Saccharomyces cerevisiae S288C: one gene and its partner. The protein of the gene in region 2 interacts with the protein of the main gene of each other region in a biochemical or structural test. Each region holds a gene or a part of one and is shown on either strand. Other genes may lie near its edges.

Evidence for each region.
Region 1: the proteins of CHM7 (region 2) and HEH2 form a complex in vitro, tested with the Saccharomyces cerevisiae proteins (one study listed by BioGRID).

The regions. Positions count from the first base shown.
Region 1 is NC_001136.10:1,379,555-1,383,957, forward strand, and holds HEH2 (Heh2p), read right to left. Parts: upstream 2,493-4,403; coding exon 501-2,492; downstream 1-500. Other genes in the region: E3 ubiquitin-protein ligase TOM1, read left to right, coding at 1-42; palmitoyltransferase PFA5, read right to left, coding at 2,765-3,889; TFIIH/NER complex subunit TFB3, read left to right, coding at 4,257-4,403.
Region 2 is NC_001142.9:344,151-348,398, forward strand, and holds CHM7 (phosphatidic acid-binding protein CHM7), read left to right. Parts: upstream 1-1,822; coding exon 1,823-3,175; downstream 3,176-4,248. Other genes in the region: ATP-dependent RNA helicase MTR4, read left to right, coding at 1-1,593; UBX6 (Ubx6p), read right to left, coding at 3,297-4,248.

The sequences.
Region 1 (4,403 bases), on a different chromosome or scaffold from region 2:
TTGGCAATCAATGAAGGGCATGAAGGGTTTGGTCTTGCCTGATCATTTTTCGTGTAAATTTATAGCGCCATGTAACCAAGTATTTTAGAACGTCTTTTATTTAAACCTTTAACCATACAACACTTGCCCAAGGAAGAGGAACAGAAGGATTTTTTAATTTGTAAAAATGCGTTTAATCTTAACGAAACATAATACAGATTTCATGTGCATTTCGCCCTTTTTTTTTATGACAAGCAATATCTTCCAAAGTTTCTCAAAAAGGTATGATGTAAGATACAGTAAATGATATGTAAAAAAAGTACAAACTCCACTTATAAAACCATATTGAAACAGCGAATGGTTATAATATTTTACATAAAGATTAATAGAATACACTTACCTAAGAAAAATATCCGTGAAAACAAATTACAAAATTAAAAGTCACTTATCACATTAGAAACTCAAATACGAAAACAAAACAAAGAAAAGTAACAAAAAGTGGTTTGAAGACGGAAATACGATCATTCTTTCCATTCCCAACATGTCATGATCTCTCCATTTTCTTCAAGAAGATATAATTCTATATTCTCTGATTGCTCTTTCATGATTTTTTCTTTCGTTTGAGCCCATAGATTATTCTGTTCTTTTATATTTGGTATGTCGCTCAATAAAGTAGCTCTTAGTTGAACTGTTGTCAGAAAAGGTTCTTCACCTTTGTTCTTCTTTACATCTTTCAATTTATCAATTGCCTCTTTTACCAATTTCTCAATTATCTGCTCTCCTTGAACGTAATTGTCAAGTGTCGATTGTATTTTTTTGATAAGGAAAAGGACGCCTAGGGTGATAAATAAAGAACCACCATATTTCGTTATATACTCCTGTATATCCCCTTCTAAATGACATTGCAACGTAACCCATTTTTTTGAAGTTGAACGATAAATATAGTTAGTGTTATTAGATTTAGATTTCTCTCTTTTTCCATTAGTTTCAAAATCTAATGGCAGCCAGATAATATCATCTTTTTTCTTTAATATTTCAAGCACATTTTTCCAATGATCATTGAATTCCCTTTGACTTTCCCATGACGGTCTAGAATGAGAGAATATATCATATAATTTGGTTTCCGTTTCACCACTCTCAAAGAGATTCTCTCCTTCACCACATTCATGTTGTGCATTCTTCTTTTTAAGATATTCATTTACTTTCCAAACCAGTTCATCAACCTCCTTTTCTTTACTTTCATCTTTGGCACAATATTTTGGAAAAGGAATAATACCATACGTTTCTAAAATAGAACTTTTAGGCTCATAGCCTGGTTCACACTCAACATTCATAAAAGAAGAACATATTCCATGCTCAGGACATTCGAGACAATTTGGTCGATAAGCTTGCAACACTGAATCTACCCTTTCAGTCTGAGGGAAAGCTGAGATTGCAAGAGATTTCAGGGGCTTTTCATGACCGCAATATCCTACTTGAATTCTCTGTTCTCGATACCAAAGACCAAAAAGAATAGGACATATTATTGAAAGGAAAATAGCACCATTCCATAACCAAATGAAGAGATGTGCAATAAACGGTTTCATAATATCTATCCCTCTTTTAGTTTTGTTGGCAATGAAGTGCCTGGTGCGACCTTTTGGACTTCGTATATTTTTTTTCGACGATAACCTACTAGTATCCTCTTCGTCTTGATTATCAAAAGTTTCTGATATTTTTGTTAGTTCTTCTTTTGCTTCCTTCACCTCAGGTTGGACTTCCAAATTGATATTCTCCATCACCTCACTTTCATTTCTTGTTTCTGCTCCAGTTGAAGGACCAACAGGCTCTTCTGTTTCGATTCTGATAGACGATAAGTCCGTGGATTTTATAGAATGATCATAATTCTCCGTAGCTGCACTAGCTAACTCTTTATTTAGTTGAGCTAAAAATTCGTTTGATACTTTTAAATTCGGCAATTCTGGTTTTGGAAGCTCTTTTACCCTTGGTTTGTCATCCGAAGAATCTTTCTTATGAAGTTCTTCTACAGTTTCCAGTTCAGAAGTTAAATCAGCAGAAGTTGCTTTCCCATCTGACTTAGATTGTGGAGGAGACTCTGGTGGTTTATTGGCCTTACTAGATCTTTTCTTTCTTTTCTTTTTAGGAGACTTCTCTTCCTGTATTTGCATCTTCGCTTCATTATCCGTACTAATTTGTTCCCTTTTCCTCTTGTTAGTTTCAACATTTTCATCTTTGACAGTTTTACTCTCACTAGAACTTGATTCAAGCTTTTTACTCTTTAATGTCTTTTTGCGATCTGCGTTTTTTGCCCCAGACTTCACAACCTTTTGAATGCTAGTTCTAACCTTTGAGGCCTCAGGTGAAGATTGGAGACGTTGCCTCACTTTCTCCTCAAACAATTTCACCAAGACAGGCTTCCTAGCGTTGGCAGGGAACGCAACATCATTTTCTACCAAAACTCTTCTCAATTGGCTGACCTTCAGCGTTTTCGGATCAAGGTTTCTGTGATCCATTGTCGATTAGTGAAGATAGGAAACTTCCTTTTCTACTATTATGTCCGTTAAAGTTCATCCTACCGTTTCTTTGCTGTTAAAATCTCTCTTCTTTTTTATTTTTTTCAAACTTATCTCTTACTATTTATGGAAGGACGATCAAGAAAATGTATATACTATCCCTTCCCCTACGCATACAGAATATATTAAAATGAATAGATAATAGAAACATATACCGATTGTAACATGAGTTTCGTCCCAGAATATAAATTGCTTGAAAAATTTAATACTATTTAGTAAGCAGGATCACTATCGTCACCAGAAGCCCGCAATGTGGCCAGATATTCTCCTCTTGATATCTTGTCCTCAATGGCCTGAATGGTGTAGTCACTAAGAGTTTCTTCATAGGGACCCAATATTTCCACTAGCGTTGTTTTTGAACCGCTTTTGCCATCAGATTTGCATCGAGATGTATAGGGCTTGCCTAAAGGAATTATCCACATAAGTATGTTAGAACCCATAAAGTCTTTTATATTAGCTAAGATTGACTTTTTGTCCCAGAAAGAGTGAAATTCAGATCTATCGAACTCTACCACAAACCTCAACTTGTTTGCTTCCGAGTAATAACAAAATATCTTCCTTGTTCCAAATTTTTTCCTTTTGCTATCTATGATAGCCTCCAAAGACGTCTTGTTTTGACTCATGTAAAAAATACTCGATGCCAACAAACTTGCGGTTAATAACCATCCAAGGATGGCAAACACTAACGTTGAAATTATATTTGCGTTTAAATTGGGGCTATAATTATGATTGTGTTGAGTAATAATTCTTATGTAAACGCAAATAGACACCCACATGATAAGTAAAAGTGTTGAAAAATAAGCAGCAAACTGCACAAAGAGTCTATAATTGTCTCTACCAATAACAGTCCCTATCCACATGCAGTAATGATCAAAGCGAGGAATGCAGTGGCCTAGTTCTGAAGAATGATGCGTTCGTTCCATTTTCAGACTTTGACATTCACTGCACCATATTGGGTATCCGTGAGGATCAGACTGATAACACTTAGGCGGAACCACAGCATCGTATTCCACTGAAGTGTTTTGAGAAGTGTTGCTAGTCTTCTCTTCAGAGGCTATAGGAAGGATCAAAAAAGGTGCTACGTGCGGTTGGGTACCTGGACCGACCAAGATAACTATTTGAAGCCATATGAAAATCACGACTACGTCTAGGAAGCATACCGCACAAATAAGACCAACCGAAACTGATTTCTGACGAAGTCGTTTGTCGACTTGCTCGTAACATAGTTTATGGCAGTAAGCCCACGTACCGTAGCACAGTAAACCGAGCACGATAATCGGTAAGATGAATCTAAACCATGACCTGCGCCTGATTCGAATATTCCATGATAGAGCCATTCATATACAACGGTTTAATTTCTGCCGTGTCGCGATGAAAGGACCTTAGCTAGGTTCTGAAAATATTACAACGGGCAGATATACGCCTAATTAGTTGTTTTGTTTGAGTGCTGTGTTTATGCTACTATTATTTAAAACGTAAATAGTGGAAAAAAAAATCGACTAAATGGTCCAAATCGGGCCGTTCGCTCGTAAATTTGTTCTTAAGCACTAATACTAAAGAGAGTATACAACAGAACAGACGCACAAGACAGCACTCATCATCAGCTAAGAAACTGAACTGCTTGTTAAAATTTGAGTTTGTTTCCTCTTAGGATTTGCAGCATTAGTGGGCCCCCGCACACAAGTAAATATAAGTGAAAGAAAAATGCTTATGGATGAGTATGAGGAAAACAAGGACATGTGTCCGATCTGTAAGACAGATCGATACCTTTCTCCGGATGTGAAATTTTTGGTGAATCCTGAATGCTATCACAGGATCTGTGAGTCGTGTGTTGATCGAATATTTAGTCTC
Region 2 (4,248 bases):
GCAGGTCGTCGTGGTTTAGATGATCGTGGTATTGTTATTATGATGATTGATGAAAAAATGGAACCTCAAGTTGCTAAAGGAATGGTTAAGGGCCAAGCAGATAGGCTAGACTCGGCTTTTCACTTAGGATATAATATGATTTTGAACTTAATGAGAGTTGAAGGTATCTCTCCGGAGTTTATGTTGGAGCATTCTTTCTTCCAATTTCAAAACGTTATTTCAGTACCAGTTATGGAAAAGAAACTTGCTGAACTGAAAAAAGACTTTGATGGCATCGAAGTCGAAGATGAAGAAAATGTTAAAGAATACCATGAGATTGAGCAGGCTATCAAAGGTTACCGTGAAGATGTTCGTCAAGTTGTCACCCATCCGGCAAACGCCTTAAGTTTCCTACAACCAGGCAGATTAGTTGAAATCTCTGTCAATGGTAAGGATAACTATGGCTGGGGTGCTGTTGTCGATTTTGCTAAAAGAATTAACAAACGCAACCCAAGTGCTGTCTATACAGACCATGAATCCTATATTGTCAATGTGGTCGTCAATACCATGTATATAGACTCTCCAGTCAACTTGTTGAAACCTTTCAACCCTACCTTACCAGAAGGGATTCGCCCAGCGGAAGAAGGTGAAAAAAGCATATGTGCTGTTATTCCCATAACTTTGGATTCAATCAAGTCGATTGGTAATTTGAGACTATATATGCCCAAAGATATTAGAGCCAGCGGTCAAAAAGAAACTGTTGGGAAGTCTTTAAGGGAGGTTAATCGGAGGTTCCCGGATGGTATTCCCGTGCTGGATCCTGTTAAAAACATGAAGATCGAAGATGAGGACTTTTTAAAGCTAATGAAGAAGATTGACGTTTTAAACACAAAGTTATCCTCCAATCCCTTAACCAATTCCATGAGACTAGAAGAACTATATGGTAAATATAGTAGAAAACACGATTTACATGAAGATATGAAACAATTGAAACGCAAAATTTCAGAATCACAAGCCGTAATCCAACTGGACGATCTTCGTCGCCGTAAAAGAGTTTTGCGCCGTTTAGGATTTTGTACTCCTAATGACATTATTGAACTGAAAGGTAGAGTTGCATGTGAAATATCTAGTGGTGATGAACTGTTACTAACAGAATTGATCTTCAATGGTAATTTCAATGAGTTGAAACCGGAACAAGCAGCAGCATTATTATCATGCTTTGCATTCCAAGAACGCTGTAAAGAAGCGCCTAGATTGAAACCAGAGCTTGCCGAACCTTTGAAGGCTATGAGAGAAATTGCAGCAAAGATCGCTAAGATAATGAAGGATTCTAAAATTGAAGTTGTAGAAAAGGACTACGTTGAAAGCTTCAGACATGAACTAATGGAAGTTGTTTACGAATGGTGTAGAGGAGCTACTTTTACGCAAATCTGTAAAATGACCGACGTTTACGAAGGTTCGTTGATCAGAATGTTCAAGAGATTAGAGGAATTGGTGAAGGAGCTGGTAGACGTCGCCAATACCATTGGTAACTCTTCACTTAAGGAGAAGATGGAAGCTGTCTTGAAATTAATTCATAGAGATATCGTATCTGCTGGTTCTTTGTATTTATAGTTAATCACACACAATTATGTATTTTTATTGGTATATATAATAAACAAATAGATTTCATCAACATTTATTATATAATAACATTTTTGTTTGGGCAAGCACACTATTGATACACCCATACAACTCAATGAAGTGCAGCGTTAGTAGAGACAATAAGAGGAGTTTTAAATTCTTAAACTATATCTGGCAAAACACCACCAAAGCCAGCCAAATAGTATCTCACTGTATCTGAATGAAAGTAGATTTACCAGAATCCAGACTACCATCTTTATATAGAGATTTTAGGCCATTGAAAGATTTAAATCCCGATGGGTACGAAGCAAACATCAGTACATGGAGGGATTTCTTCTTGCAACAATACATCAGCAACTCCAACAGAATCATATTTACTATAGGGACAAGGACTTTGCAAGAATTAACTCATGAAGTTTATGGCGTACCGAAAAGCATTGATATAGCAATTGACGTTCTTGTTAATGAAGGAAATTTGATACCTATGGAATTATTCAATCTTGGTGGAATGTACACTGACAACAGTAGAAAAGGATTTTGGAAGTGGGTTAGAAGTTGGAAGGAGTCTACAAACATGTATAAAAGCCGGAAGGATGAAACAAATTTCTACTTGAGAGAAGACAAATTTATTATCAAAGCAAATTTGGAAAAAGAGTATCAAAGGTTTCATGAATTACTCAAAAGAAGTGTTTTTATGGAGGCTTCATCTATTACAGATTTAGTATTCACAAGGAATGAATTTGTGACCACAGAAAGTTTGCAGTCGTTCTTTTCAACCTATGATGAAGAAACGAAAAACGTGTTCCTGCACTTTATAGAGAATTATAAGCACATAATAGTTTCAAAAGACAATGTTATCAAAGTCATTGCCGCTGAAGTAGAAGACATTACTAGCAGGTTCTCCAAAGGCATCACAGAAAATGACCTTCGAATTGCTAGTGTTAAAGTGGGTATTATAAACATCAACAAACAAATTACAAGGCTAAGAAAAGAAATTAATGAATCTAACATTAAACTGAGAGGACCAGAGTTTAATGAGCTGCCGAAGAGAATAAGGATTGAATATAAACAGGCGAGATTACTATCTGAAAAACATCTTTCTAGGTTACTAAAGTTTCAAAATAACCTCGCTCAAGTAAGAACTCAAATAGACACCAGTGCTACTAATGCGGTTTTAATTCAAACTTTAAGTGAATCCAACGAAGTAATTAAGTCAATTAATGGATATATTGGTTCTACCGAAAAAGTAGAAGACTTACTAGATGAGATTAAAGAGGGTCATGACCGTACCGAAGAGGTCAATGATTTATTAGCTCATTATAATAAAGGTCAAGACGAAGAAGCAGAAGAAGAAATTGAAAGAGAATTAGAACAATTAGAACTTGATGAAAAGAATAATAATAAGGAAGAAAATAAGAACCAGGATTTGCACGAGCCAAAAGAAAGCAGTAGCGAGGATCTATTAAAGAGATTGAATAATCTGAAGATAAATACAAATGAAGGACCTGTGCAAGATAATGAAAACCACGATAATGAGATAAGAAAAATCATGATGGAAGAACAACCACGTTGACGAACTGAGTGACTAATAAATAAATATATATGTATAAATAAAAAATAAATATGAATATTTTAATAGACGGAAGAAAGAAAATATGTGTGAATAACCAAATAGGAAATAAACAAAAGCACATTTAATTGTTGCCGTTATTATTAGAGTAACCTAATGTACGAACTTTGGTATTAGATGCAGAATTATTGGAAGACAAGTTTAGTTCAGACACGTTTTGTCGCAATTGAGAAGTACCATTAGAAGGATACATCCTTGGGGTAGTATATGCTGAAGGAGTCATTGAATCACCACCACCTCCTCCTCCCCCGTCCGACACCATGTCTAAGCTAGATAATTTTTGTAAAGAGTAGTTGGCGCTGTTTGACACATTTGTGCCCAACCTCTGGTAACCAAGACGGGAGGAGGAAGCATCTACTTCCGGTTCTTTCGCCCAAAAAGATGTCAAACCTGAGTAAACCTTGTGTAGAAGAGAAGATTGTTCCATGTAGTCGAATGTTTTGTTATTGGCTTCCAGCGGTTCTAAGATGAGAGTCGATCTGGGCAACAGATCCAACTCTTGCAAACTTTTGAGTTCGTCATTTCGCGTAAGAGTCACTCTTGGTATATTTCTGTGGAAAAGGTAAGGTGTTCCATCATCGTAGCAATTATAGTCTAACCACATCCTTACTTTGTGTAATTTTGTTTGAGGAGGGAAAGTATTAGAGATTGTGTAACCATTGGGCAGTTTCAATTGTAGAGTACAGTAGTTCTGGGCGAGAAACCCCTTTTGACTCTTGTAACTAACATTATCAGTAACTGTCAACTGCTTCCACTTCTGTGGCTTTCTTTGCGGGTCATTAGTATTTTGAAAAACATACTTCCTCTCCAACTTGTCGTTCTGAATCATTCTTTTGACTCTTTGATATTCTTCATTGCTCTTGGAAAATAACTTCCTCTTTGTTACTTGACCCTTAAAGACTGATTGTAACCCATTGATAAAGGTTTCCCAAGGATCCTGCTCACGAGAAAGGCTATTACCTTGGATAGAACATTCGAGTAGACCGTTCTGTAATATGTTAATGCTTGGCGCCGAT